Tamandua tetradactyla: one gene and its partners. The protein of the gene in region 1 binds, or shares a complex with, the protein of each later gene. Links are inferred from orthologs where the notes say so. Each region holds a gene or a part of one and is shown in the gene's direction. Other genes may lie near its edges. The genes, in order: LIN9, E2F4 and LIN52.

Evidence for each region.
Region 2: LIN9 (region 1) and E2F4 share a complex: the UniProt entries of both Homo sapiens proteins name them as parts of the DREAM complex. The link is inferred for Tamandua tetradactyla from reciprocal best matches to the Homo sapiens genes LIN9 and E2F4.
Region 3: the proteins of LIN9 (region 1) and LIN52 are in contact, whole or in part, in a crystal structure (PDB 6C48), measured with the Homo sapiens proteins. The link is inferred for Tamandua tetradactyla from reciprocal best matches to the Homo sapiens genes LIN9 and LIN52. Residues at the interface, in NP_001353174.1 of Homo sapiens: Leu335, Gly336, Phe338, Phe342, Leu343, Ile344, Val346, Thr347, Leu349, Ser350, Lys351, Leu353, Met354, Lys356, Lys357, Ile360, Leu363, Arg364, Asn367, Thr368, Ala370, Glu371, Lys374, Ile382, Phe384, Gln385, Tyr388, Ala389, Val392, Leu395; in NP_001019845.2 of Homo sapiens: Asp61, Met64, Leu65, Leu68, Gly69, Leu71, Thr72, Thr73, Leu76, Met77, Val80, Leu83, Gln84, Leu86, Ala87, Leu90, Asp93, Glu94, Glu97, Met98, Arg100, Gly101, Leu104, Asn105, Ile106, Leu107, Glu108, Pro110.

Annotation. Positions count from the first base shown.
Region 1 is NC_135333.1:20,289,205-20,299,500, forward strand, and holds the start of LIN9 (protein lin-9 homolog), read left to right. Parts: upstream 1-4,517; 5' UTR 4,518-4,552; coding exon 4,553-4,631; intron 4,632-10,296. UniProt on the Homo sapiens protein: Acts as a tumor suppressor. Inhibits DNA synthesis. Its ability to inhibit oncogenic transformation is mediated through its association with RB1. Plays a role in the expression of genes required for the G1/S transition.
Region 2 is NC_135342.1:60,881,312-60,891,607, forward strand, and holds the start of E2F4 (transcription factor E2F4), read left to right. Parts: upstream 1-5,757; 5' UTR 5,758-5,793; coding exon 5,794-5,928; intron 5,929-6,357; coding exon 6,358-6,467; intron 6,468-6,602; coding exon 6,603-6,764; intron 6,765-7,086; coding exon 7,087-7,130; intron 7,131-7,788; coding exon 7,789-7,850; intron 7,851-8,073; coding exon 8,074-8,371; intron 8,372-8,858; coding exon 8,859-9,050; intron 9,051-10,296. Other genes in the region: EXOC3L1 (exocyst complex component 3-like protein), read right to left, coding at 1-45, 162-291, 1,035-1,145, 1,356-1,456, 1,557-1,682, 1,810-1,927, 2,007-2,619, 3,103-3,322 and 2 more. UniProt on the Homo sapiens protein: Transcription activator that binds DNA cooperatively with DP proteins through the E2 recognition site, 5'-TTTC[CG]CGC-3' found in the promoter region of a number of genes whose products are involved in cell cycle regulation or in DNA replication.
Region 3 is NC_135338.1:33,067,336-33,077,631, forward strand, and holds the start of LIN52 (protein lin-52 homolog), read left to right. Parts: upstream 1-3,927; 5' UTR 3,928-4,267; coding exon 4,268-4,298; intron 4,299-10,296. Other genes in the region: ALDH6A1 (methylmalonate-semialdehyde/malonate-semialdehyde dehydrogenase [acylating], mitochondrial), read right to left, coding at 3,666-3,713.

The DNA of each region.
Region 1 (10,296 bases):
TCTGAGCTCTGTAGGGCAGGACCCAAGCTGAAAATTTAGATAAAGGTGATGATGAAGTTCTTAGTCTAAATCCCCACAAGAACGCTGGCTGGTTGGAAACTCCAGGAAGAGTTAATGCTGAAGTTGAGTCCAAATTCTTCTTTTGACTTCTGAAACTCTCAATTCTGGCTTTTAAGACCTCCATTGATTGGTGAGATTCCCTACATTGCTAAAGGCAATCTCCTTTGTTGATTGCTGGAAGTTGAATCACATCCTCCACAAAAGATATGTTCAAACTTTAATCCCCTTTCCTGTGGCTGTGAACCCATTTATAAATAGGACCTTTGAAGATGTTTTATTAGTTAAGTACGGATTAATTTGTGTTCTAGTTTGCTAGCTGCCGGAATGCAATATACCAGAAACAGAATGGCTTTTGACAAGGGGAATTTAATGAGTTGCTAGTTTACAGTTCTAAGGCCGAGAAAATGTTCCAATTAAAACAAGTCTATGGAAATGTCCAATCAAAGGCATCCGGGGAAAGATACCTTGGTTCAAGAAGGCCAATGAAGTTCAGGGTTTCTCTCTCAAGTGAGAAGGCACATGGCGAACACAGTCAGTGCTTCTCTCTCGGCTGGAAGGGCATGTGACGAACACAGCATCATCTCCTAGCTTCTTCTCCTGGCTTCCTGTTTCATGAAGCTCCCCAGGAGGCGTTTTCCTTCTTCATCTTCAAAGGCCACTGGCTGGTGCACTCTCTGCTTCATAGTGTTGCTCTCTCTGAATCTCTCTGAATCTCTTTCTCCAAAATGTTTCCTCTTTTATAGGACTCCAGTAAACCAATCAGGACCCACTCAAATGGGTGGAGACATGTCATCCCCTAATCCAGTTTATCAATCATTCTTGACTAAATCACCTCAACCAGGGAGATGATCTCATTACAGTTTCAAATATACAGTATTGAATAGGGATTATTCTACCTTTATGAAATGGAATTTATATTAAAACATGGCTTTTCTTAGGGGGCATACTTCCTTTCAAACCAGCACAATTTGTGAATAGGATCTTTGGAGATCCTATTTAGATGAAGCCAAATTGGATCAGGGTGAGCCTTAATCTGTATTACTGAAGGCCTTATAAAGAGAAGAAATTCAGACACAGCCAGTCAGAAGAAGTCAGAAGTTCTTAGAATCCAGAAGTAGGAGATGCCAGAGAGTGACATGGCCACGTGACAGAGGACTGCCATCACTAGAATGCTTGTGTCTCTGGGAGAAGGCATGGCTTTGCCGAAGTCTCAATTTTGGACTTCTAGCCTCCAAGCTGTAGGCCAATACATTTTTATTGTTTAAGCCAACCCATTGTGTAGTATTTGATGTAGCAGCTCTGGCAAACTAAGGCATTGATGGTAGATATAATCAATTGATTATAGATGAAAATTCTACCTCAAAAACCTTCATAGTAACAAAAAGTCCAGTGCTTTACCACACAACTAGACACCATGACCTATTTTGAGTTGACATATGAAATTAACTGTCACGGTGTCTGTGCTGGTTTGAATTTGTGGACCCCAGAAAAGCCATGTCCTTTAATCCTCATTCAATATTGCTGGCTGAGAGTTTTTGATTGTTCCCATGGAGATGTCACTCACCCGATTGTGGGTATTAACTTTTGATTAGAGGGAGATGTGACTCCACCCATTCCTGGTGGGCCTTGACTGGAATCCTTTAAAAGAGGAAACATTTTGGAGAGAGACCCTTTTTTAGAGCCACAACAGAGCCTGTGCAGCCAGAGACCTTTGGAGATGAAGAAGGAGAATGCCCTCGGGGGAGCTTCATGAAGCCAGGAGAGAAAGCTAGCAGACATAGCCATGTTCGCCAAGTGCCTTTCCAGTTGAGAGAGAAACCATAAACGTCATCAGGCTTCCTGAATCAAGGTATCTTTCCCTGGATGCCTTAGATTGAACATTTCTATAACTTGCTTTAGTTGGGACATTTCCACGGCCTTAGAACTGTGGACTTGCAACTTAATAAATTCCCCCTTTTAAAAGCCATTTTGTTCCTAGTATATTGCATTCCTGTGGCTAGCAAACTAGAACAGTGTCCTTATCCAAATTTTAGTTTAAAAACAAAGCAAACAACTACACTTATACAATTATGTTATGGTGGAAATTAAACAACTCTGTGTATACCTGCTTTCCTCACAGAACAGAAGAAAAACTGAGGTGCTGAGAGTGAGCTAGATTTCTGGTTCTATCAGTTAGTCACTGCTGTTCTTGGACATGTTACCAGGTTGTTGAGAAGATCAAGTAAGTCAATGGTTATAAAACCTTTCATAAATACCCAATAAAGAACCTCACCGAAAATAATAGTGAAGGGCCTAGCTGCTAACAAGTGGTAGATCTGGACTTGGAAAACAGCTTCATTTAGAGTTTTTGCTTAACAGGCAGATTATCAGGGAAGGGCCTAAAAATCTTCACTTAAATACCATTCTTGCTGGAGGTTTCAGTTCTTGTTTTAAGAAAACTGCCTTAGGGGGTGGGCCACGGTGGCTCAGCAGGCAGAGTTCTCGCCTGCCATGCCAGAGACCCGGGTTTGTTTCCTAGTACCTGCCCATGCAAAAAAAACAAAACAAACAAACAAACAAAAACGTGCCTTAGGATAAAACGTGGTTTATTTTGATCTGATATTCATGTTTTGTTTATATCTATTCTTTCAGTCTCAGAGAGGTGGCCTTCTCTTGAACTCATCTCCAAGTTGCTGAAACTTCCAGTGCTTTTCATCTTAAAGAACAGATCAGAATGTGTTTAGAAGGCATAGCAGGGGTTAAGTTAGTTATGAAGGAAAGATTACTCTGTAAAATTGAACTTTCATCCTTCCCATTCACACCCTGCTCCCTTTCCTACCTCAATAAGTGACGGCTCTTTCCACCCACTTTCCTAAGGCAGAAACTTGGCATTATCCGTGACACCCCTTTTTCCTCACAAACTATGAATCACCAAGTCCTGTCTTTTTCCACACCTCTTGAGAGACAGAATGCATCGTGTCCCTCCATCTCCTTCAATACTTCCTGTTTAGAAGTAGTCATAGCAGTAGCAGTAGCTAACATTTGACCAAAATGCATGCTAGGAATTATCATCAGGATTTTACATCAACTCATTATCCTCAAAATAACCCCATTATTATTATTTGAATTTTATAGATGAGAAAATGAAGCACAGGAAATTAAGAAACTTGCCTGAGATTTCACAGATAGCAGCCATAATTCCAACCTAGTCCTTCTGGCCCTCTCTGAAACTCCACAGCCATTAGTGCAGGCAGATATCTCTCTTCTCTTCCTGGCCCAAGTTTCCTCCTGACTGATTTCCAAGACTTTCATCTTGTCCCCCTCCAATTAATTTTCCACGTTTGCTCTAAAACAAAAATGGAACCTGCTACCCCATTATTTAAAGCCTGACCTCTGTTGTGCCACTGTTCAAACAGTCCAACTCCTTAGCCTGGGCTGGCCTCTGTGTTTTGTTCTGTCCTCATCTCAGTCTTTCTACCACTTTTCAACTTTTTAGTTCCTGGAATTCACCCATGCTATTTTCATTGCTTAGGACCTCTTCTGCCACCTCCACCCGCACCAGATTCTTGAAGGGAAAGGATTGGAGTTCTGCATTTGTTAAATTAGTTGTAGAAAAGTAGCAATGGTTTATTACTGGACAGTGTTAGAGACAAGAATTGTGAAATTTTTTCCTGGGCTTCATTCAAAACAGGATGAATTCTCTCATCCAGTGTTTCCATAACACTTTTATCAGAGTGCTTTCTCAACCTTGTAGTGTCCCTACTGGGTTCTTGTCTATAACCTTACAAAACCTTCTGTTACTCATTTTGTAATTCTCTCCTAGCTCACTACATGATCCTGTGTCCAGTGGATTAAAGAACAGTTCTTTAAAGGCTGGCCTAGAAGACTAACTTGAGGACTCCTTCAGGTCCCTCTCAGGCCCTGCGCGGCTCCGGTTCCAGCATCACAGGTAACGAGGCGCCTCGGTTCGCCACGGGCCGCGGCGAACCCCAAGCGTTGGACCCAGTGGCTGTGGGGCAGCTGTGGCCTCCTCCCCTCGCTCTTCCAAAGAGAAAGGGATGGAAGCACAGAAGAAACGCGGGCTTGGGGAACCTTGGCAAATTTACTCCGTATGGGGTTCCATGGGGTAAAGCGACCGAGAGCCAGGGCTTCTCTCCCATGACGGGCCTCCAGGCGCCTCCTCCCGCTCCCGCCTCAGCCCGCCGGGCCTCTCCCGGCTTCCCTCCCTCTTCCCACTCGGAACAAACAGCCTGCAGTTCCCGCAGCGGCAGCGCGAGACCCGGCGCCGGGCCCGGGCGGGACGCGGGAGCTCGCGTTGCTCCCTCAGCGCTCCAGCGCCGGGCCGGGGCGGGGGCAAGGGGCGAGGCGCAACCCGCCCCACCGCACCCCCTCGGCCGCCAGCAGCGGGCGGAGCCGGGCCTCGGGCCACCGCGACGGGAGCAGCGCCCGGCAGCGCGGCAGGCAGCGAGCTCCGCATTCGAACCTCCCTCGCTAAGACAGTCTCCGCCCCACAATGCACCGCGGCGGGCAGCCTTTGAAAAAGCGGCGCGGCTCGTTCAAGATGGCGGAGCTCGACCAGTTGCCCGACGAGAGTGAGTAGCACCTCAAAGCACCCCCCTTTCCTCCCAGCGGTCGCCTGCCCCGGGCTGCAGCGGCCGGGACAGATGGCGTGCCCTCCGCCGACCGGGTGGGCTGACTGCCAGTCCCACTAGGTGCTCCTAGTCCTCCCACTCCTGTGTTGCTGCCGCGTCGCCGCCTTTGTTATGGTGTCTGTGTATTGGTTTCTGGGGTTGTGGGAGCGCCAGGGCCGGAAACCGAAAGCCGGAGAGCCCAGCCGGTGTCGGGCGGAGGCGGTGGCTGCTCCCCTGGCCGGACTCCGGCCCCCGGCCTTGGTGGGAGAAGAGCTGCCCCCGGCCGCGGGGACTGTGTCCGCCGCCCGCACCGCTCGCCTGGCGCGGAGAGACACCGGCATGGGTTATGTAATGCTCCTGTCCCCGGGCCCGGGGAGGACTCGGCCGGGGAGGGGGTAGCCACCTGCCCTTTCTTCTTGCCCCACCTTCAGACGGAGTCCTGCCCCAGTTGTTACCTGTCCAGGCACTTGTGGTCTTCACTGTCACACCTCCCCCCGCGATGTGCCCACCTCTGGGAGTGTTTCCATGTCAAGGGGCTGCCCTTTGTGGGACCACAGGTGGCAGTGGATCCTTCCAGAGATAATCCAGACTGGATACTTACGGCACAGGTAGCCTTCATCCCCACAGACTTTCTCCTGCGTGTGCGTATCTTGAGAGTCATGGGGGTACCTTGGACATATTGATGTGACCAACCAGTGTACCTGTACAGTACTCCTGACGCCCACGCCTGTGCATTGCTTCACTTAGCCATGTCTACTCACTCTGCCTCAATGGAATCTCATGAACATATATTCTCGCTTGTGTTTAGTACGTAAAAGCACTAATTCCATAGTTTAAGCACAGTGGAATGCAACTTTGTAATTTACTAAATTGCGTAAATTATATAGAAAAGCAAATGTTTTATTTTAGTTAATTACAAAGAGATTCTGAGTCCACACTCACTATTTAGTTTATGTATACATAGCATTTGCAAGAGTTTTAATTTAACAAAAACGAAGGGCTCAATCACTGAAAAATCTATCAGTGCACAATATAAATAGACTTTGAAAATTAGAGCCAAATACAGGCAATTCTTTGTGGAATATATATTTTCAATGTGTTATCAAGTTAAAATTAAAAGTTCAAGTTCTAGTTAAGCCAAGCTGGTGAAAAGTTGTATTAAGAGTATTTTTGTTTTAAATTTACTCTAGCCAGTGCTAAGTTCCAATAGTACTTTCTCAGCAATGGAAATGTTCTATTCTGTGATGTCCATTAGGATAACCTTTAGCCACATGTGGCTATAGAGCCATTGAAATGTGGCTTGAGTGATTGAGGAACTGAATTTTAAATTATTTAAATGTTCCTCCTCGTTATCTTTACCAAGAGATAACTTTTATCACCTCTTAGAAGAAGTTAGAATAGACTTATTTTAGTTACTACAGTCATTCTTTTGAGTGAAAGATGTTTTAAGTGGCTTTTAATATAGCTCTTATTGGGAGTATTTGCATTATCGTTGCCAAACATTTACCTAGGACTTACATATTTCTTTGTAGGTTCAAATCACGGCTGTACTTTCAGACTATATAACCTAATCATTTATATTACTTTGTCACATCTCTAGTACATTGTATTGGGGAAGTGGGGATGTACTTGTGTGCATGTCTTGTTTAGCTAGACTGCAGCTTTGGTGAAAGCAGAGATTGCCTTATGTGGCTTGTGACACAGTGTCACAAATCAAGTATATGTAAATACTTGATTTATATGGAATTAAACATAGGGTAAGAGGCATTACTGAAGATACTGGAACAGGAAAAGTAAAAGTGATTTCAGTTTGATACTGGAAATAATAATTTGTTTATTCATCAAGATTAGGCAAGGGGACTAGCTAATATATTCACCAATAGCCAGCAACTATTATCAATAATAAATGCTACCATTTATCGAGTACTTACTATGCACAGACACTGTGCAAAGCATTTTACATAAATCTATTCATTTAATCCTCATGTCAATTGAGATGAGTACTCTAATTAGTTTGATTTTATATCAGATCTTTCCCTTGTGCTCTTGTTCTTGACATCTCTTGCTTATTTCACATCTCCTATTAGATAGCTCAGAAGTTCCTCAAATTTTACAAGCTCAAAATCTAACTCATGACACCAACCCAGGACAGAGATATTTTCAGTGGTCCTTGTCTTAATGAATGGCTCCATCTGGCAGGGCAAGAAACCTAGAGGTCATCTTTGGTACTCCCTTCTGTTTCATTTCCCATATTTAAGCCTTTACTAAGTCTTGTAGCTTTTTCTTTCAAAATGTCTCTTAAATCTACCTGCTTCTCTCCATTACCTGAGTCCAAGCTGTCACCATCTCTTATCTCCACTAATCACTTCAACCTTTCATTAATCCATCACCCCTTTACCCACATACATTCACACTTAAGCCAGAGTGAACTTTTCAAAATGTAAATATGTCTTGCCTTTAGTAGCTACAAGATCCTGCATGGTCTACCTTGTCCCACCTTTCCAGCCTCATTTTGGACCTTCCTATCATTTATCCCTTTGAAATACTTTGGACCTTTTTCATTCCCTCTATTTACTAAGATGTCTTTTCTGCAGTGCCTTTCCATGTGCTATTCTCTCCACCTAAAATGGTCTTTCCTCCCCTTACTTTCAAATACCTTCAGCTTATCCTTTAGACTCCATTTTAGCTTCTTCAGAGAGCTATTTTCTGTCCTCCCTTACAGCATTAAACTACTTATTAAAACCTTTCTCATAGCACTGTGTAAGTCCTTAGTGGCAGCTGTCACAGTTGCAGTTTTTAATTTGTTTATGTGATTGTTTGGTTAGCATCTGGTCCTTTTACTATTTTAGAAGCCCCACCAGAGTAGGTACTAGTTCTGTTTTTAACACTCTTGCACCCCAGTTCTATGCATAAGGCCTAGCTTACCTCTCTGACCTTATTTCATACCACTTTTTCTTGTTTGGTACTCTTGAAGCACACTGGCCTTTTTTCCCTTTCTTTGAATATATTTTAAGCTAATTTCAGTTATTTTTTTTTTAGTTTTTGTTTTAACCTTCTGTTTCTTCTGTATTACTTCTTCCTTGTGTTCTTATGGCTAGACCTTCTCAGAAGTTTCCTCTTCCAGCCTTTCCTAACCATGGTATATGAAGTAACTGCTATAGGAAATAAACAGAGTGATATCAGTATGGGGGAGTTACTTTATATATATGGATAATAATTATCTTTTTGTTTACTTGTTTATTGTGTGTCTGTTCTCACTAGAACCCTGAGAACAGGGTTTTGTCCATCTTGTTCCTTGGGATATGCCCAGCCTTAGATTAGTGCTTATGCCAGGCATTCAGTAAATATTTGCTGCATGAGTGAATAAATATATCCAGCTAGAATGGGATTCTAACTTAATCAGATTTACCTGCCTGTAAATTCATGTTATTAACCTAATAGGTCTTATTGATTGATCAAAATAATTCCAACAATAAACACTAAATGAAAATTTGCCATGTGGTATGTACACTATTCTTAGCACTTTTACATACATTATTTTAAACATTTTTTATTGTAAGATGTAACATCTATACAAAACAAAAAAAGAAAACAATAATTTTCAAAGCATACTTCAACAGATAGTTATAGAACAGATCCCAGAGTTTCTGCCATCTCAGATTTTTTCTTTTAGCTGCTCCCAAACACTGGAGGCTAGATGGAAGATTAATATAGTGATTCAGGAGTCATACTTGTCTGTTAAATGCTATTCTCTTTTATAACTTCTTCTCCCTCGATCCCTCTCTCAATCCATAGGGATCCCTGGGCAACACCCCTTCTGACTTCTTCATGTTGATAAGGGGTGTAGACACTAAAGGATAGAGCGATTAATTAATTGATAATGTTAGAGAGGCTGGTTCCTTTGGGTTTCAGTATTTATCTGACCTAGGAATCCTCCGGGAGTTATAGTTTCCAGAAAAGCAAACTTAGCGCATGAAACCTCTGTAGAGTCTCAGTTTGAGCCCCAGGTATTGTCAAGAGTCAACAGGAGTGATGCTGGTTGGGGTTTAGCAAACCATGGCAATCAGTACTATCTAATTGAAGCTTGCACAATAGTTGCCTCCAGAATAGTCTCTGGACTCCACCTGATTTCTCTTGGCTCCAGATGCCTCATCTTTTTAGGCATCTTTTATTGCTTCTCTTCCTCCCCTTGGCCCAGAAGACATTTGCATATATTATTAACTCATTTACTCCCACTTTACAGATGAAGAATCAGCAGCACAGAGAGGTTAAGTACTTTACTTAAGGTAGCAAAGACAGGAAGTGGCAGAGTCAAGATTCAGATGTATGTAGTCTCCATCTAGAGCCAGTACTCTTAACCACTGTGCTATACTGTCTCACAAAAAGATTAGAGTTGATAGGTCAGAATCCCCAAGATATGGTTCCTACCATCGTGGAGCAGAAATTCTTCAAATCTCTGCTCAAATGTCACCTTATCAGAGAAGCTAATCATGAGCAACTTACGTAAAACTAATAGTTTTCTCACATATACCCCAGTCCCCCCACACTGTCTATCCCCTGTTATTCTGCTTTAGTTTTTTCTGTAATGCTTGTTATCACCATGTGTGTACGCTCATTAGGATGTAAATTCCATGAGAACAGAGACTGGCTCTTTTTCTTGTTGTTGTATCCCCAGTGCCTAAAGCAGGAATGTTTCTCCTACTTCCCGTCACCCACAGATCCTGTACTTTACTCATATCAGAACCTGTAGTCCAGTGTTTCTCAGTGTGGTTCTGGAGGTTACCTATAGCACATGCAAATGTGGTCAGTACTCTATATATTTTCACTGAAGAGTGAATGGTTTTTTCTTTTTCTCAAGTGAGCTGGATTTCTCTTGTTAACTATGTGGCTATTTACACTGACTACTACTGCTGCTCCTTTGTAAAGTTGTGTTATTTGAGGCTTTTAAGCAAGAATTTATGGCATCTTCTTTTTTTCCTGACTATACTGCCTTTGGTTATTTAACTTCAGTGTGTTGTAAAGAAGCTGGTGAGTTGTCCTGTTATCCATTCTCCACATATAGACAAGTGAGGTGGGTAAAAGAAGAATGACTTTGATGCTAATGCTTTGTCTGTTCTATAGGCCTCTCATTCTGGCCTGCGGAGGAAAAATCAGTTGTTCATATGCCTTGGACTTCTTTGTAATATACCTATCCAACTGAGATTTTAACCTTAGCTCTCCCTGACTCCCTTAAAAACTTCTTTCCCTGATGTTTCTCCTACTTCCCGTCACCCACAGATCCTGTACTTTACTCATATCAGAACCTGTAGTCCAGTGTTTCTCAGTGTGGTTCTGGAGGTTACCTATATAGCACAGCCCCCTGGGAAGCTTTACTAAGAATACAGATCTGCATTTATGAGAGTTTCCTGGTTATTCTAATACATGTGAAAGTTCGTTCTAGACAGTCAACCCCTCCAACTTTATCCTAGCTCCACTTGCTGTTTTGGACTTCCTTTCAAGGTTGGATCTTTAAGTGTTGTACATACCTGCGTTTTAGACTTTTAAGGGACTTATCACCTGTCATGCTATCACTGGGTCATTTCCTTTTTTTTTTCCCTCTACTCCGTTACTACTTCTGATCTTAGCT
Region 2 (10,296 bases), on another chromosome or scaffold:
AGAGCTCGACAGCCACTGACGCGAGGGCAGACCCGCAAACAGGGGCTGGGGGCGGGGAGGGGGCGCAGGGGGGCTGGGGGAACGATCCAGATCCGGCACTCCCCGCAGAGACCCTCCAACATGTGCTTCACCTCCCACCTCCATCCCCACTGAAGCCTCACCTGGAGCTCCACCAGCAGCACCTCCAGCACCAGGCGGTAGATCCTCCTCTGCAACTCGTCCAGGGCGGTTTCCAAAGGTGCCAAGGCCCCTGAAGCCACCCCGTCGGGCTGCAGGGCCGGCAGTGAGGAGCTGACCGACGAAAAATAAGGCTTCAGGACCAAGGCCAAGGCCCGCAGGGTCCGATTGTCCAGCCAATCGGGCGCCACCTAGTGGCGCATGTATGTGGTGTGAGGAGGCGAACCGGCTTCTCCCTGCACTTCTGAAGGGCAGAGGCCTGAACTGAGGCTGCGAGTGGTGGCGAAGGATAGCTCAAAGGGGCTCAGCCCCAACCCGACCTGCCTCTAACTCGAGGTGTGACCTTGGGCAAGTCGTGTCTTTAGGTTCCTGATTCTCATCCGTAAGGGGAGGGAGTTAAACTCAAGAGCCGGTAAAAATCACTAACTGGTCTGACCTCCCTGCTCACCCATCCGCCACAATGAGCATAAGACCCAACAGGAAGGGAATTTTTCTGCTTTGTTCATAGCTGTAATCCCAGACATTACCTGGCACGGAGCTGGACCTAGATACATATTTGTCGAACAAATAATTAATTGAGCACTACTTTATGCCAGGCACTGTGGTAGGTACATCTGTTATCTCATGTGCTTCTCAGAACATTAATTATTACCCACATAGTACTAATGAGAAAACTGAGATTCAAAGAGATTAGATAATTTGCCCAAGGTTGCAGCTATTAATTAGCAGAGCTAGGATTGGAACCTGAGGCTATGTGAGTTTACAGTCCCTACTGGCCTAGCGTGGGCTGGATACATACATAAAAGGTGCTGGGGAAGAGGAGATGAAGGTGGTCTTCCGTGTAAACCTCCTGGTACCTGAGTGCTGAATGGTGGTTGAGGGCAGCCAGTAGGTAGGGCACGTAGTGAGGGGCCATTGCTTCACCCCTGAGATGGTCTCGGGAGAATCGAATCAGAGCATCACTGAAGCTGAAGTGGGCAGAGGTGGCTCCAGTATCTGTGATCATTCTGGTGTCCCAGAGTGACCCCAGTCCCTGGCACTCCTGCCCCACCTCCAAGATACCCAAGGCCCAGTGTGAAGGTGCCCTTTCTTATTGGTGTGTCATGTCACTATGAGCCCCTTTGGTCTTCCCTGGATGCAGGGTTGGGGGTGGGGAGTGGGTCAGTGTCTTGGCAGACCTCCTCAGGAATGCACCCAGTTCTGACAGTGCCATGCTGTATACCCGCCGCTGCAGTGACTCACTGACCAGACTGGTCACACGAATGTTCTCATCCAGGATCTACAGGGAGGGATGGGCAGCCATCAGCAAAGCCCATAGCCTTGCCCTCCTCCCCTTTCCCCATCTGGGCTGTCCACCTGCCTGGCCACCCCCCACCCACCTGCAGCACGATGGCTGGCATTGGTGAGTAGTAGAAGCCGGATGGGTCCATGTCTGGCTCCTGTTCCTGGCCCCACTTGGCTACCTCCCCATCCAGTGCCTTCTGCAGCCACTGGGCCACACTTGCCTGGGGAAAGGGGTAAGAAGCAGCAGGAGGTAGCAACGCACTGACCTTGCCAGAGACAGTGACTGTACAGACAAAAACCTACAACTAATGATCAGGGCTGCTCTGGACCCATGCCCCAACCACTCACCTGGACTTTGGCCACAAACGTTGTCTCCAGCCACTCCACATCCTCCAGGGACAGTAGGGGCTCCAGCTGAGACACATCAGCCTCTGGCCCTAACTCCAGACTCCCCATCATTTCTGGCCTGAAGATGGGTAGCTGGGGGTCATAATGAGTCCCCAGTCTCCAATCCACCCACTTCCCGCTGCCCTCAGGGCACTGACCCCAGGTACACATGCAGGGCCCAATGCAGAAGGGTGAAGGCGTCAGCAGCACCCAGCTCAGGCCCTGCAAGGACCTGCTGCAGGCTGCGACGCAGGCCTCTGTGCAGGGTATGAGCCCATAGCTGGACCACCTTGTAGTGCGGTGGGCAGCAGGGTGCTACTAATGCCTCAGCTGTGGCCAACTCGGCTGGCAGTGCCACCTGCAGAGCCTCCAGCCACTCTGCTAGGGCACCTGGCCCAGGCAGTAGATGTGTCCCAAAGTGGACCCGCTCCAGGCCGTCCTGTAGAGCCTGCAGACAGCGCTGCCGCCAGTTCCGGGGGGCCTGCCCCAAGGCAGTTGTGCGTCTAGTCTCCACCTCAGCCACGCGCACAGCAGCCACCAGCAGGGCAGGGTCCTCCCGGGCCAGCTGTCCTGCAGTTCCTGCAACCATCTCCACAGCCTGGCCCAGTGCCTCAGCCAGAGGGCCTAGCCCCTCAAGATCTGGCAACTCCAGGTCCCCTAGGTGTGCCCAGGTCTCCTCTCTCAGCTGCTCCAGCTCCCGCAGGCTCACATATGCCTCGAGGAGTTGCTGGGCATCAATCAGGGACTGTGTGTGGGTCACTGCAGCAGGCACTAATGAAGAACACAGGAGACAGCCCTGGTCTCAGAGTTAATACCTGTGCAACAGGTGCAGCAGGTGAGGAGACCTGGGCTGGGGTGATATGTAAATGTTAATAATCAGTACGGTGGAACACTGGCCCATTGGAAGGGCACAAGTGAAATTCTAGAAGCCTGGTGGACCATGTGTGGACCCTTGGGCTGATGGAACAAGAGGAAGTCAGGGATTCCAGAAGAAGTTAGGGACCACACAAATGGCTTTTCACCCACCCTGTTAGGAAAATAGTTCACTGTAACCAGGGTGCCTGTGTATCAGTCCTAATTCAGACAACCCATGCTTGGAAAACCCAGGATGAACTGAATTACATATGCTTCACATGTCATTTGAACCCTGGGAGGTTCCTGGTGTGTCCCTCCATGTGATCCCCACCTAGTGCCCCAGCCCCTTGATCAGTGAAGGAGCTGGAGAGCTGAGGCCTGGGACCCCAGCACACTCACCTGCCTGCAGCCGGGGCAGCAGCTGAGACAGGGCCTTCAGTTGTTTATGTTGGGCCACCTGCTCCTGCAAGGGTGCTAGGGTCTCTGCAGACTCAGCCATGCTCTGGAGCAACCCACAGGCCTGGCCCAGGGCCTCACGGGCTCCCTGCATGGACTCAAGGGCCTGTGCCAACTGCCCCACACCAGTCTGCACGCCCTCCAGGTACGACTGCATCACTGACTGTGGGAGGGAAGCCATTAGTGAGGCCTGGACAACCCCGCAGCACATCTCCAGTACTCCTGCTCCCCCAAACTTCATGCCTACTTTGATGCGAGCTTCCAGGGAGCAGGTGCGTTGCATCTCGCGGCTACGGTACTGGCCCAGCCTGGTCAGCTGCTCGGGCCGGTAGAAGATGCCGGAGGCCCACTTGAGCGCGGCACCCCGGGCCAGCTGCTCCGCCTTCTCCTGCTCTGGCCACTCAGGCCCTGGGCAGGAAGAGCCTGGGCAGCTGCGTCAGTCTGGCAGGGCCTGCAGGAAATGTCTGCCGAACCTGCCCCCCTTCCCGCCTGTCCCCTAGCTCCAACCAGACCTGCCAAGGAAGGACCCAAGCCCACGTTCCCATCTTCCTTCCTTCATCCCTCCCCCAGCCCACCCAGGACTCATACCAGGCAGAAGGGCAGGCTCCATTTCGTCCTTGGCAGAGTCCACGGCGGGCCCTGGAGGAGCTGGAGCTGCGGTAGGAATGCAAGGCAAGGATCTGGGTTAGAATGAGCTCAGTGGATGCTCCTTTGAGCTGCAGCCTCTGTCTAGGCCCCTCTAAGAAGGCGGAGGGTGGTTTTTGCCCAGCCCCCTCCGGAAATGAGAGGGAGGCCTTACCTGCTGAGTTTCCTAGTTGTGCTCCTCCAGACACAGTGAGGCAGGGTGGGCACAGGCCTCCGCTGGGCCCTGTTCCTGCTCTGAGTTGCAGGGGACAGTTTGGTGAGTATGGGACTCACCAGGCTTGCATAGGCACTCAGTTCCCCCTCCTCTGCAGACGGCCTTGGCCTTGATGATGGCTCTGTCTCCTCCAGTCCTGCAGCTGAGCTTCTCACTCCCTTCCCTCCCTCACAGGGTCTGGGTGACTCCAGCCCACTCCTGGCCATGCAATAGAATCCCTGTCCCTGGGGAAACCTCTCTCCCACCTCCCAGCCCCCTTCTCCCTCCAAGGCCCCTCCCTCCCCAAGGCCACACACAGAAAGGAAGGAAGCTGAGTCTCTGGTGCTTTATTCCCAACAGGAAAGAGCTTCTGCACTGTGGGATGAAGTGGGGAGGGCTGGGGCCACCTCCATGAGGGTTGGGGGCTGGGGGCTGAACTCTCTGAAAACTGCAAGTCTTGTCCAGCCCACTTCAGGACCTCCTTCGTGCTCAGGACCCAGGCATACCTGGGGCGGGGGTTGGGGTGGGGTGTGCAGATATGGATGCAGACTACAACACTGCGGTATGAAGTGTGTTGATGGGAAAGTGCCTGCCTCTGCAGAGGAGAGTAGCCACAGGCTGTTCTGAAGAGGCTGTGTGGTAGGTGATGGTATGAAGGGGGTCACAGGCCTTGAAAGCCGTGCCAAAGAGGTGGCTTCTTGTCCTCAGAGTTGTAGGGAGTTTTGGAGGGACTAGAGGATAGTACTGGGTAGCGGCCACTGTACCTCCCAAATCTGCCCTACAGGCCTGAGGGCTCACAGCTGCATCTTCTCGGTCATTATTAAGGTACATAGACCCAGATCTTTGTCTGGATTTAGAACATCTCTGAAGGGCCAACCCAGCTTCAAAACTCCTAATGGGATGGGCTGAGGGCTCTATTATAACTGCATTCTAACTTAATTCCTTTGTCTGCCTGATTTCGGCTTCTTGTACTCCCTTAGAAGCGTGGATCCCTGGTAAACTTTTTGCAAGCATATCCATGATTCAAGGTCTGTTTCCCAGAGAACTTGACCAATAGTAAAACATAATAAATAACAATGTTAAAAATAAAATGATACTAGCAAGAACATATTCCGCTCTCCGTGCCAGAAACTGCTCTAAGTGCTTTACACACATTTACACGTAGATAAACATGTTTGCATGGGCTAAAAAGTGGTTGTAATCTTATGGCAGCAACTAGACCTTTGAGCGCTGTGGTGTGGAGCAGAGAAAGAAGGAAGAAAGAAAGAACTGAGGCTGGGACCAGAGCAGGAGGTTTGGGATGTAGAGGAAGTGGACAAGCTAAATGTAGTTAGCGCTGGCTGTTAGGAAATGAAGGACAGGAATAGGGTGGGGCAAACTCCAGGAAAAGGTTTAGGAGAACATATTGGGTTCAGCAAGCAGGGTGGTCTCCTCTCCCAAGATAGGGTCTGGAGCGGAGTTAGCAGTGTTAAGGAAGGTTGGCAAGAAAGGTTCCGGTGACATTCCCTTCTCTACTGCGGGGGCCATCCACTGACGTCCTCCTTAGCCCTCCCAACTCTGTCCTGTTTTCGGGATCTCCGGTTTGTTTTCGCCCTCCTTGGCGGTTAAATTTTTCCGACGGTTCCTAACGTTTTGCGGCGGTGCTCACATGAAGGAATTGCGCCAAGTTCCCTGGAAGGGAGGAAGCGGAAGCAGGGTCGCCGGCACCGGCAGCCGGTCGACCAGGAGCGGAAGCGGAAGTGGCGGCGGCGCCGGCCTGGCCTGGCCTGGCTGAGGGGAGGCGGCGGGCGGGCGAGATGGCGGAGGCCGGGCCACAGGCGCCGCCGCCCCCGGGCACTCCAAGCCGGCACGAGAAGAGTCTGGGACTTCTCACCACCAAGTTCGTGTCGCTTTTGCAGGAGGCCAAGGACGGCGTGCTTGACCTCAAGCTGGTGCGGCCTGGGCTAAGGGGACGACCGGAGGAGTTGGTGGTGGATTAGGCCTGGCCGGGAGCGGGAACCCCTGGGGCGGTCCCACTGCATCTTCCGAGAGCAGGCCGCCATCGTGTGCTTTCTCACAGAAGGGAGGTCCCGGAGATGTTTCATTCATTCGGCAAAGGGCATTGAGCGTCAGCTGTGTGCCGGCGCGGGGCTGCAGGTGCTGGCCCTCGTGGCTGGCTCTGTGGTCCCAAGTTATGTAGTGCCTGAGTGGAGGTTTGGGACTCAGGTTGCCCCCTTGCCAGACAACTGCACATCAAGTCTCAAGGTAGCTGGGGCCTGCTGACCTGACGGATGCAGTGGGAGTTTTTGTCTAATAGATACGTGGCTAGGAGTACACCTGGGAAAGGGGCTGACCACCCTCCACTCTGTTCTGTCTGCCAGGCAGCTGACACCCTAGCTGTGCGCCAGAAGCGGCGGATTTATGATATTACCAATGTGCTGGAAGGTATCGGGCTGATTGAAAAAAAATCTAAGAACAGCATCCAGTGGAAGTGAGTGGGGGCATTTAGGATCTCTTATGCAGAAGTGTCAGAGGCGTAGGGTGAGGGAGGGTGTGTGCAAGTGAGAGCAGGGGCCAGGGGACTCAGTTCCTGGCAGCCTCTCTCAGCTCCGTTTCCTGGGCTCAGAGGTGTGGGGCCTGGCTGCAATACCCGGGAGATTGCTGACAAGCTGATTGAGCTCAAGGCGGAGATCGAGGAACTGCAGCAGCGGGAGCAAGAACTGGACCAGCACAAGGTGTGGGTGCAGCAGAGCATCCGGAACGTCACAGAGGATGTGCAGAACAGCTGATATCCTGCTGGCAGTCTTTACTTTGGGGGCATGGGTGAGGGGCCCTCTGGTCCAGATGGGTTTGCTCTCTGGTGCCCTTAGCCCTGTGTCTCTTGGGAGGATGCTCCTGAGGCTTCTGGCTGGATCGCTTCCTTGGGTTCCCTCCTCAGAGTTCCTTCCCCTCCAGACTTGGCTTGTCGTCCCTCCCCATGTGGACTTCAGACTCCAGTACTTTTTCTGAGGGTCTTTATCTCAGACACCTGCTAAAAAGCTGTGTCCTCTCTGTGGTCGCCATTCTGTTACCATAGACAGGGCATCCACCGTTCTCCTTAACCCCCACACCTTGGCCTACGTGACTCATGAGGACATCTGCAGATGCTTTGCTGGTGAGCAGAGCCTGGGTAGGGGGAGATGGGGGTGGGCCTGGGTTGAGCCACAGCCCTGAGCATTGGGCTCAGTGCCCAAGAAGAGTTCCATCTCTTAGGAGGGTTCCTGGGCCTGACCAAAGAGAAATCAGGCATGGGTAAGTCTGTAGTCCCCACCTGCACCATTCCCTGGGCTTGGCCTCTTGGGCATGATGGAGGGACAAGGAAGAGAGAGCGTTTGTGTGTGTGTGTGCGCACATTCGCATGTGTGTGCATGCTTATATGCAGGGGACAGTGGTGTCCACTTCTAATGATAGCTTAGTTTCATGTGGGTACAAGAGCCGTTCCTTCTCTACCTTACATCCCCTAGGTTGTTCCTGGGGAAGGGATGTTGGCATTAGAACACCTGAACTTAGGGAACAGCCCCATCAGTGCATCAGTGAGGTATTCCTGACTACCGATCTTTTGCTTTGTATATTTGAACCCATATTTTCTAGTTACTGGCCACTGGACTCTTGGTGAGAGAAAAGCTTCAGCTTCCTACCCCATCCACTGTGGGGTGTGGGTGAGGCCTACTGTCTAGCCCCTCAGAGACCATGATCTGCTGCAAAGGGCAGGCACTCTCATTCCAGCTGAAGTTGAGTCTGTGGGCTCTGACCCATCCTTCCTCTCATTCTAGGAGACACCCTCCTGGCCATCCGGGCCCCATCGGGCACCAGCCTGGAGGTGCCCATCCCAGAGGTGGGTGCTCAGCTCAGGCAGGCGGGGATGACTGAGGGCGGGTGCTGGCTGTGGAGCCTGATAAGTCCCGGGTGGGGCAGGTAGGGGGAGGCCTGGGGTTTGGGGTTATCTAGGAGGACGGGCAGCCTGGGGTGGGAGAGGACACTCTGGCCCTGACCCAGGAACAGGCAGGAGCCAAGTCTGGTCCCAATACCTGTCCACCATCCCTACCCCCAACCTCCAGGGCCTCAATGGGCAGAAGAAGTACCAAATTCATCTGAAGAGTGTGAGTGGCCCCATCGAGGTGTTGCTGGTGAACAAGGAGGCCTGGAGCTCGCCCCCTGTGGCTGTGCCTGTTCCACCACCGGAAGATCTGCTCCAGGGCCCACCTACTATCTCTACCCCTCCACTTCTGCCCAAACCTGCCCTGGCCCAGCCCCTGGAAGCCTCACGCCCAAGCAGTCCCCAGCTGACCACCTCTACCCCTATCTCCTGCAGCACCGAGGTCCAGGGGGTGGCCAGCCCAGCAGCTGAGAGCACAGGTGAGGCATGATTGGCAGCTAGTGAGGAGGTTATTTCCTGGCACCCAAGAGCTGCACCTTGTGTTATGGAATGCGATGCCAGAGCTGGAAGGGACCCTGTTGGAGTTGTCCTTTTCCTAGCCCCCACCTGGCCTCTCCTTGCTATGGCAGTGAACAAGCTCTTTTTAACAGGGAAACTGTTTGATGGGGCCTTCTTATCCCCCCACCCACCCATATCCACCTGTGCCTTACTTTCCCTGGCAGCCCCTCCTGAAGTTTGGCCACAGCAGCCATGTCACCCATGAGTTCCCTCCAGCAGGCCTCATGCTTTGCCTCCTTCAGTGACTCATTTCCAAGTTACCTATTCTGGGTATCTGCCAGTGCCTGGCTCTCCTTTGGCCTGGGATTTAGGATTGTGGTCATCCTGGCCCTGGGTTCTAGCACAGCCAGGTGCTATAACCTGTTTCCTGCCCCTCATGTGACTGGTTCGCGGGGGATGTGGTTTCAGTGAGTGGAGGCTGTGGAATCGAGAACAAGGACAGTGGTGAGCTCAGCTCACTCCCACTGGGCCTGACAGCACTGGATACCCGGCCACTGCAGTCTTCTGCCCTGCTGGACAGCAGCAGCAGCAGCAATAACAGTTCCTCTGGACCTAATCCTTCTACCTCCTTTGAGCCCATCAAAGCGGACCCCACAGGTGGTGAGTACCTGGCCACTGGAGGGCAGGAAGGACCCAGCCTCATCCCAAGTCTAGGTTAGTGACAGAATTGGGGCTGGAACCCAGCTTGCCTGTCTCCTCAGCCAGAGCTTGCCAGCCCAAGGATCCCAGTCTCTTGCCATTAACCCCTCTCCTGACACCCGAGCTCTCTGCCAGTCACCGTGTGAGGAAGAGCCTGACTTCGGGTCAGTGCTGGTGCCCCTTTTGCCTGCACTTCTTGGGCTACCACAGTCCTCCCTGCCCCTCTCGCAAGCCTTGTCTGCCACCCCTTGGACTCAGGTTTCAGGAAGGTACAAGTGCTCTCCTGGGGAGGAAATTCTGGTATGGCTCTTGGGTGCCAGAGTGACCTCCTTTCCGGAGGAGGAGACATCATCTCCCTGATACCTCCTCTTCTTCATGTGTCTTTAGTACTCATTCTTACCCCACAAGCCCCACTGTCTCTCTGTCCTCACCAAGTAACATTCTCCCTCCTTTGTGCCCCCCTCTCACACCTTTCCTTTCTCCGCCCTGTCTCGATTACTTGAAAAAGTAATTTTGACTTTGCTCCACTCACCTTCAGGTTGCAGCAGTCAGAACGCATGTGCCCACTTTCCCCAGAACTACTCCACAAAGTGCTGCTTTTGATAAGTTACCAAAGACCTGGCTACCACATCCAGCAGGTGTAGGGTGTTTTGCTCTGGTGCCTTCTTGCTCCATGTGTATGATCTTTCCTCCTTTGGCTTTAGTGGTGCCACCTCACTGGCTTCTCCCTGACCCCTCCCTGATGCTCCCTTAAACATTGGTGCTTCCCAGGTCTCTCTCCCATCCCTTGGGAGGGCCCCAGCTCTCGGTGGATGAATCTCTACCGTCCCTCTAGCCTAGATCTTTTGTCTGAACTTCAGACCTCTGTGTTCACCTGTCTTCTGGATGCCTCCCTCTCCATGCACATCCAGTAGGCGCTTCATTCCCATGTGTCCTCACCTGCATTTATCTTCCTTCTGAAACCTGCTTTTCTCCCTCAGTGTGTAGCTTCCTGTTGGCCCTTTTCATCCAGGCTTGACACCCCTGGATGTCACTCCACTTACTCTTTCCACTGCCTCTTTCCTCTGCTCCCCACCCCACATCAGCTACGTGAGTTTCTATCCCGGATGTCCTGCATCCTCAACACCCAGGATCAGTCCCTTCTACCACTAGCTGAGATACTTGATCCTCTCATCCTCTTCTCAACTCCAATTGACTGAGGCATCTT
Region 3 (10,296 bases), on another chromosome or scaffold:
GATATCCACACCATATAGTCCTTAGCTGGAATCTTTCTATTCAGGTAATATTCATATAACTGCCTTTGCCACATCTCTACTTGGATGTTTCTTAGGTGTGTGTTCAAAAAACTGAATTCCTCATCTTCCCACCAACATGCTTGCTTCCTGCATCTCACCTCTCAGTGAATGGGGCCTCTATTCATCTAGAGGCCTAAGCAGAAACTTGAATGTCATCCCAACTCCCCTCTCTTTCTCCACAGCAAATCAAACAGCAAGTCCTGGCAATCTGTCCTGACAATCACCTTTAGAATGCACCCCTTTTTCTCTAGCCCCAATGCCATTACCCCAGTACATACCATCATTGTCTCTCCCTTGGACTATGATTATGGCTTCCTAACAGGTCTCCCAGCCTCCAATCTTAAACCTTCTGAATCTAGCTTCTACCATATAGCCTATGGGTCTTTCTAAAATACAAACCTGAACAGATCATGCTGTTGTTTAAAGCCCCCCAATGGCTTCCCACTCTCCTTGGATAAAGACTAATCTCCTAATGTCGCTTACAATGCCCAGCATAGTATCTTTACATCTCTAGTTTTACTGCTTGACACTTTCCTATTTGTTCTATAGACTCCAGCCATTCTGAATAGGCTTTGGCCTCTCTTTGCCTTAGCACATGCTATTGTTCCCTCTTCCTAAAATTATTTCATCCTATTTGCTTGACTCATTCCTATATCTTTAGGTCCCCACTTAGCCATTGCTTTCTCCAGAAAATCTCAATCTGGGGTCTGGGCTAAGTACCTTAATATGGAGTTCATAAAACACCCTGAATTTCTCTATTTCTCCTATCACATTAGGTGATAACAGCTTGTTTAATTATGTTTCTCTTCCTTTAGACCACTAGACCATTGTGTCCCTCAGCTTCTGGTGCAGTTCCTGGAATAAAGTAAGCACTCATTAATATTTTCCAGAATGAAAGAATGAGTATTTACCAAGCAACCTTGATAATAATTTTGCTCTATGTGCACTCTCTTAAAGGGCAGAAAATGCACGGATCAGACAACATGAGCATTCTAGGCCTTAGTTTTATTTTTTCACTTGCACACAGATTCCCTGCTGTCAAAAGGCTATAATTATCTATAAAATACATCAAGATCCTAGTTTTTGACAGTTTGGATCTATCTTTCCTTCATTTCCCAAGAAACACCTTCATTAGCACTGTTATTGAAGAAATCAACGTCAAACCAAAGTTCTTGCTCTTTAGATGCTTATTTGCTACTTACTATTTCCTTTATCAGGAACTCCCTTCTTCCCCTGGCGAATGGCCTGCTAGTCTTGTTAGAAACAGCCCCAGCCCCAAAGGCAACCACTTTTGGAATATTTTCCAGAATTGGCCATATGAAGTTGTGGCTCTGTTCCCACAGCACCCAGTGTTCTCCTATTGTTTATTATTATTATTACACATTTCTTGTTGTATTACAACAGGGGAGATTTCAGTGAAACCAAAGCCTGGGGCAATGCCTAATGCAGAAGAGATGTTTAAGTTCTGAATTCTCAGCTTCATCATTTACTACCACTTGAGACCTTGGGGAAACATAAGGGTCAGGTAATTTACATAATTATATTCACTAATTCTAATTCCCACAAATATTATCAAAACTAGAAAAGTGGTGGAGAAGGGTTAGACTTCAAGTATGACTTCGAAGTAATCTATACTCTTTCTACCACAACACTGAGGCAAGTCACAATCTCCTTAAAACTGGTTTTCTTATCTCTGAATGGGAAGGATATCTCAAAGAGCAGAGATTCTAGGTAAGTTTCACAAGGCACCATAAAAAAGAAAAGCTGAAAACTTAAAATAACTGAAAACAGGGAACTTTCTCCTTTACAGATTGTCTAATATTTATGCTGCTGCGCGCATATAGACTACTCTTTTGTCAAGGGCTCATGTTATAGCAACTCCTAATTGGCTAAGAGTTACTGTTTATGTTCAGAAGTTTCTTCAAATGAATCAGAAAATAGTGGCTGTTTCCAAAATAAAGTGCATGAGAGGAGAGATTTTTCTTGTTGATGCAAATGAACAAATTACCTTCTTTAAAGCTCTCAATGACTTATTATAATGGGCAAGGGTAAAAGGTAAAAGCCTATTTCTGAGGGTGTACTGATGGCTCAGTGGTAGAATGCTCGCCTTCCATGTGGCAGAACTGGGTTTGATTCCCAGCCCATGCACCTGCCCCCTCAGAAAAGCCTATTTCTGTGAAAGATGTCAAGGAGGGAGTTGGCAACTTTGTTTCTTTTTTACTAATACTAGAAAAACAGAACTAGAATCACAGCAAGAGATATATAAGGCCAGATCATTTGACAAAAACCCTCCAATCCATCTTCCACAATGTCCCATCAAAGACCATATTTAAACATGAATCTTCAATGACTCTGTCAAGAATCTTAACAATGCACAAGTTTCTGAGATAGAACTCACTGAAACCTGGTAAATACTATTATTATTTAAAAGTCCAGCAATATGGAGGAAGTTCCCAGGCTGGGTGAATGAACAAGAGAGGTAATGCTGTTTCTTGCAGATTTGAGAATTTTGCCTACAGTAAATCTTGTCTTATATTCTAAGTCCTTAATATGCATGCTCACTAGGCTTTGAAAAACAGGGGAAAGGCTTCGGATAGAGCTGGCCACCATAAGACTCGGGCTTGCAGCACTTGTAGCTTCACTACTTCTCCTTAGGCTTATCTTCAGAGGATCCACTTTCCCATGGGTGAAGTTGAGGGTATGTTGGTACTCCAAGAGCTGACTTTGGGACAGGAACTCACAATTCTTGTCTTCCCTGGCTCCCTCTATCACATTGCTTTAGAGATGTTTAGACCCTTGAGTGAACATGCAACATACTGATAGCATAACTACGGGCCCTTATTTACCTCCAACGTGAAAAGTGTAACTTCCCTGAGAGAAAGTTTCAGTGAAAGCCTTGGCAAGAAAAGGCCTGTGGAATACACAAAGAGCCACAGCTGGGACGCTTAGCAAGGCTGGTTTTGGTGAAAACCTAGTGGACACTTCTAGAAGGATATCCAAAGTTCATTCAGTAAAAAGTGTTATCATCAATTGTAACGAACTTTTCACACCAATGCAACTGTTGATGGTGAGGTGGTGTATAGAAATCCTGTACTTTATGCATTATTATTCTGTAAACCCACAACTTCTCTAATAAAAAAAAATTTAATTTAAAAAACGTTCATTCAGTGACCATCGCCCCTCGCGTGTCAGCTCCCCTCTTACCTCGGATAGGTACGATGAAGGAAAGGGAGCAGGAGAAAGAGCTCTAAAGGTTCTTGGGAGAGGTGGCAGGCGCGAAGGTGGAAGGGAAAGACGGTGAGGAGAACTAGAGAAGTAAGGGCAAGAAGGTGAAGGTAAGGAAGGGGTAGAGGTGGAAGAGCAGAGTGGGCCGAAGCCAGAAAACGGGAGGATCAGGAGTAGAAGGGCGGGGAACTAGGGGTGATGGCCCAGGACTGGAGCTGGGACGAGGCGTGGGGGTGGGGGAACACGGCCGCACAGGTCAGGTGAGAACACGAGACTCGGCCAAGAAGCTGGGCCAATAAGTCTGCCCGTCCGAGGTCGGTTGAGAGAGTGGACGGAAAAGATCCAATTCCTGGACTCGCGATCTTTCGTCCCTCACTCACCTGCAGGATACGGGCCCGGAATGCCGCCGCAGCAGCCACCACCGCCATGGCTCTAGGCCTCTTCTTCGTCTCCTTGCTCCTCTGCTGCTGGTGCAGATCCTCAGAAGTGCCACCGGGGCCAAACCCCGCCCCTCCATCTGCAGGACCTCTTCATTGGCAGAGAGGGCCATTTCTCCTAGCCAATCACGCACCCTGAACTCTGACTCCACCCCTAAATACCAGGCCTGGGGATACACGATTGGTCAATAGTGGAAGAACTCGCCCCCAGCCCGCCTCAGCAACTTCAATTGGCAGGGATAAGGAAGACGCCCCTGACAGGAGTAGTCTATAGCGAGAACACGGGGAAGACGCCCCCCTAACCCGGAACTCTGATTGGTCATACGCACAGCTGCGGCCCCGCCCCATCACTGAGGAAAGTAAATAAGATCCGCCAAGAATTTTGCATGAGGGACGTGGCTAGCAAGTGGTGGGCGGGGCTAATCAAAGATTGCCCTAGGAGGCGGGGAAACGAGTCCGGGCTGCGAGTTGGGGATAGGGTTTCCCTTTGGGGGCGTGGCTCATGATCCTCGCTTTCCCGCCGACGGTTGGCCACGTCACGTGACATGGGTTGGAAGATGGCGTCTCCCACTGACGGTAAGAGCCGGCTTAGATCTTTCGCCTGCAACCCCCTTTACTAGGAAGCTTCCGTTTTCCGTCTGACCCTCAAGCTTACACTTCTTTCTTGGAACTCTCTCCTTTCCCTTTCACTCCTTTCCTTGGGATGCGTCTCCTTTTTCAGCTCGCGGGTTCTCCACAGCGGCTCCAGAGGTGCCAGTTTCCCCGCTGTACACCAAACGGTGGAGTAGGGCATCTGCGAGGGACCTATTTCGGGCAAAAGGACGGGTATCGCTTCATCCTTTACCCCTGTTTGAGAAAGGCTGAGGGCCTAGGAGGAGATGCTGCTGGAGGAAAGGAAAGGAGGTGCCTTACTGTAGTTGTCTTTCTCAGGCGCTCTTTTGAAGGGTCAGTTCTCTTCTCATTGAACATCCTGAAAGATTCTGTCAAGCCCTTGCTGGGATTAGTGGTTGATCTCATCCTGGGATTGAGCCACAAGAGAAACGTGATTGTCTCCCATCGTCTCTGTTTGGGACGGTTGCCCTGCCTGCAAAGTAAAGCGAGGGACCTCGGGCCCTAACCATGAGAGTCCTGAGGAAAATGAGAATTGAGCTTTTTAGTATAATCTTGCACGCGTCTCATCATCTCTTGCTTTTGTTTTGTTGTTTCCTCAGGCTGAGTAACTTAATAAATTTCTGCTTATATGTTGCCTAAGTTGCCTAAGCAATTGGGTGGTTTTGGTATACCCATATGCTTTTTATTTTATTTTATTTTATTTTATTTTATTTTACATGGGCAGGCACCGGGAACTGAACCCGGGTCCTCTGGCATGGGAGGTGAGCATTCTTGCCTGCTGAGCCACCGTGGCCCGCCCCCCATATGCTTTTGTACTTTGTTTTCTTTTAGAGAGTTGGGGTCTTGCATCAATTTATTTTTTAAATCCCTCTATTCCTGTTCAGTCCTTTTGTCTGAATTTTATTCAGGTAATGATTGCCTTCTTTTATTCTCCTCTTTTGTGAAATATATTATTATCCAGTCACCCAAGACAAACTTTCTCCCTCACCAGCACACCCTAACTTCTAGTCAACAAGTGCTGATTTATCTTTCCTTTATTAGAGTTCCCTTTTGCAAGTCCATTTCTTCACAAGTCTGGTATATGAGATTTTAATTACTCTGCCACACTTTCCTGTTCTTCAGTCAGTGATAACAGCTCCAGGTTTGTTTGCTTTTGTATTTCCTGTCATAGTCTTTATTCATAAGGTCTTAGTCTTATTCAAAGTAGCAAAAATGCAGCTCTTCATCTCTTTCTGCTTATCAGCAGCTGGTTTAAAGCGTGCATGTAAAGTCCGAAATCAAAACTTTATTGCTGACAATTCCTTTAAGAGAATAATTGGATTTTTCTCACCTAGTGAATCAGGATGATTGGTCTTGATTTCATATTCCAGCCTGTATTGATTGTAATCAAGATCAGAGTCAGCTTTCTGTAATTCTGAAAAGCTGGCAGTTGTTGAAACATAGATGTTCTTAACATGTGGTCATCTGCAAATCCTGGGTTATACCTAGCAATTTTTTTTTGTATCTATATACAGTTTTCTGATGAGAAGGATTTCCTTTAAGGATCCATGGTCATCAGTTCCAGCTTATTGACCTCTGCCTCCATGCTGAATAGTGGGCATTCCTCCTGCATTCATTTTTAAAAACATTTTTATTGTGAAATATACATGCAAAAAATTGATACATTTCAAAGTACATTTTAACAAGTAGTTTTGGAACAAATTTAAAAGTCTGGTATGGATTATGGTTCCACCATTTCAGATATTTCCTTCTAGCTGCCCTAAGACACTGGAGACTAAAAAGAATATCAGTATAATGGTTCAGTAGTTATACTCATTTGTTAAATCCTCTCTTCTTTGATACAATTCTTCCTTCTCCTTTGATCCTTCACCCACTCTTTGGGGGATATTTAGGCAATGGCCATTCTAACTTCTTCATGTTGAAGAGGAGTGTTGACATTATGGGGTAGGGAGATACAATGGTTGATGCTCTTGGAAGACTGGTAATTCTGGGTTTCAGGGCTTATCTGGTGTAGGAACCATCTGGAGGTTATAAATTTCTGAAAAGTAAACTTAGTGAGTTCAGCTTTTATAGAGTCTCATATAGAGCCCTGGGTATTCTTTAGGGTTTAGAAGAATACTGTTGGTTGGGGCTTGGTATACTGAGGCAATTAGCAATATCTAACTGAAGCTTGCTATATAAAACCTCTAGAATAGCCTCTCAACTCTGTTTGAAATCTCTTAGCCACTGATAGCTTATTTTGTGACATTCTTTCTCCTTTTTTGTCAGGAAGGCATTGTTAATCCCATGGGCCAGGCTCATCCTTGGGAGTCATGTCCCACGTTACCAGGGAGATTTCCATCCCTGGATGTCATGTCCAGGGAAGAATAATGATTTTCCTTGCAGAGTTAGGCTTAGAGAGAGGGGGAGAAAGAGAGAGAGAGAGAGGCCACATCTGAGCAACAAAAGAGGTTCTCTGGAAATAACTCCTAGGCATTATTATAGCTAGGCTTAGCTTCTCCGTTACAGATTGAAGTTTCATAAAAGCAAGCCTCAAGTTCAAGGGTGTGCAGAAACTTTGGGCATTTATGTGACACCTGAGATTCAGACGAAGCTGTGACCGTCAGCAGTACAGGAACTGTTTACAAAGTTGAAAAAGGGATGTGACTTCCAGTACATATCTGAATGAAGCTGATCCAGATAGGACTAGGATAAATTAGAATACCTTTATCGTCAGGTCAAGGATGATATTGTCTATATTTTAAATCTTCAACCTCTGTGTAAGACCAAAGGGAGAGATGTTTATTTGGTGCAAAATTTATATTTTGGGTGGTGCATTTCCTAGTTTAACTTGTCTGGGCAGTTTATTGAACACCATAAGTACCTGTAATCTTGAATAGGGCATGAGACTTTGTTGGTTTGTCCAGGTTAGTATGATGCCTTAATATATCCCAGAGTAATTTGGGCAGTCAATAAAGAAGTATTTGCAAGGTCCCTGTGGGGCACTGTGGAGAAAGAAGGAAATATTCAACTTTTCCATTTGGAGAATTTCTTATATTCTTGCAAGCAGTGGGGACAGCCAAATCAACAGGCCGAGCCCTTGATCTTGGGGTTTGCCTCTATGAAACTTATCCCTGCAAAGGACAGGCTAAGCCTACTTAAAATTTGGCCTAAGAGTCACCCCCAGAGAATCTCTATTGTTACTCAGATGTGGCCTCTCCCTCTCTAAGCCTATGCAGCAAGTGAATTCACTGCCTTCTTCCCCAGTGTGAGTCATGACTCCCAGGGGTGTAAATCTCCCTAGCAATGTGGGACAGAAATCCTGGGATGAACCGGGATCTGGCATCAAGGGATTGAGAAGGCCTTTTTTACCAAAAGGGGGAAGAGAGAAATGAGACAAATCTTCAGTGACTGAGAGGTTTCAAACAGAGTTGAGACATTATCCTGAAGATTATTCTTACACATTATATAGATATCTCATTTTAGTTTATGGTGTATTGGAGTGACTAGAGGGAAGTACCTGAAACTGTTAAGCTGTGTTCCAGTAGCCTTAATCCTTGAAGATGATTGTATAATGATATAACTTTTACAATATGACTGTGTGTTTGTGAAGACCTTGTTGCCAATGCTCCCTTTATCTGGAGTACGGACAGATGCGTAAAAAATATGAATAAAAAGTAGATAATAGGGGACAAAGGTTAAAATAAATAGGGTAGATGGAAATACTAGTGGTCAATGAGAGAAAGGGTTGAGGTATGGTAGTGTGAGTTTTTTCTTTTTATTTCTTTTTCTGGAGTGATGCAAATGTTCTAAAAATGACCATGGTGATGAATACACAACTACATGATGATATTGCGAGCCATTGTATGTATATCATGTATGGAATGTTTGCATGTTAAGGTTTATCAATAAAAATATTTTTATAAAATAAAATAAAAAATTTAAAAAAAGAACATTAAAGAAAAAAAGATCAAGGGTGTGGCCTATTAATTTGGGAGTCCCTAATGTTTGAGAGAGTATCGGGGATATCCCAGGTGGGAAAGTTTAATAGTTCGATATTTTTTTCCCAGTCCCTGAAGGAACTTTGCTAATACTTTTTAATTATCTGTCCAACATACTCTGGAATGTATCCAGGTATTATATTAAGCGATGCAGAATTGCAAGGTCTTGTTCCCAATTCTAGGCTCCATGTGTTTAGGTTGTTTAACTGAACTGGCCAGACAGGCTAAGTTAAAAATGTGTACTACACAATACTATCTAACTGTAATACAATTATGTTAGCACACTGAGTGAAGCTGAATGTGAGAATGATAGAGGGAGGAGGCCTGGGGACACAAATGAAATCAGAAGGAAAGATAGACAACAAAGACTGAGATGGTATAATCTAGGAATGCCCAGAGTGTATAATGATAGTGACTGAATGTACAAATTTAAAAATGTTTTTGCATGAGGAAGAACAAAGGAATGTCAATACTGCAGGGTGTTGAAAATAGATAGTAATTCGTATTTTAAAACTTTAATTTGTGTGAGACTAAAGCAAAAAATGTTTATTTGGTACAAAATTTATAATTTGACTAGTGCGTTTCCTAATATAACTTATGTGGAAAGTTTAATTGAACACCAAAAGTACGTGGAACCTTGAGTAGGGCATGAGGTGTTGTAGGTTTGTCCAGAGTGATGCCCCAATAAATCCCAGAGTGATTTGAACAGTGAATAAAAAGGTATTTGCAAAGTCCCCTAGGGGGAATGGTGAGAAGGGGAAAATTCAACTTCCCCAAGTGGAGAATTCTTGATATTCTCACAAGCAGTGAGGACAACCAAAGCAGTAGGCTGAGCTCCCAATCTTGGGGTTTGTTCATATGAAAACCCCGCAAAGCATAGGCTAAGCCTACTTAAAATTAGGCCTAAGAGTCACCCCCAAGAGAACCTCTTTTGTTACTCAGATGTGGCCTCTCTTTCTCAGCTAACATGACAAGCAAACTTACTGCCCTTCCCCTCTCTGCAATGAGACATGACTGCCAGGGGTGTGGACCTTCCTGGCAACAGGAGACAGAAATCCTAGAATGAACTGGGACTCAGCATCAAGGGATTGAGAAAATCTTCTCGACCAAAACAGGGAAGAGCGAAATGAGACAAAATAAAGTGTCCATGGCTGAGAGACTCCAAACAGAGTCAAGAGGTTATCCTGGAGGTTATTCTTATGCATTATATAGATCACCTTTTTAGTTAAGGTATAGTGGAGAGGCTGGAAGGAACTGCCTGAAAATGTAGAGCTGTGTTCCAGTAGCCATGTTTCTTGACGATCATTGTATAATGATAGATAGCTTTCACAGTGTGACTGTGTAATTGTGAAGACCTTGTGTCTGATGCTCCTTTTATCTATCTTATCGACAGACAAGTTAAACATATGGATTAAAAATAAATAAATAATAGGAACAAATGTTAAAATAAATTTAGGAGATTGAATGCTAATGATCAGTGAAAGGGAGGGGTAAGGAGTTTGGTATGTATGAATTTTTTTCTGTTTTTATTTCTTTTTCTGAATTGATGCAAATGTTCTAAGAAGTGATCATGATGATGAATATACAACTATGTGATGATGTGAGTTATTGATTATATATCAAGAATGGAATGATCATCAAGATGGTATAATCTAGGAATGCCTAGAGTGTATAATAATAGTGAAATGTACAATGTACAAATTTTAAAAATGTTTTTGCATGAGGAAGAACAAAGGAATGTCATTATTGCAGGGTGCTGAAAATAGATGATAATTAATACTTTAAAATATCACCTTATGTGTGAGACTAAAGCAAAAAATGCTTATTTGTTACAAAATTTAGATTTTGACTAGAGCATTTCCTAATCTAACTCATGTAGATAGTTTGATTGAATGTCATAAGTACTTGGGATCTCAGGTAGCACATGAGATTTTGTTGGTTTGTCCAGAGTGACCCCCCGATGAATCCCAGAATGATTTGTT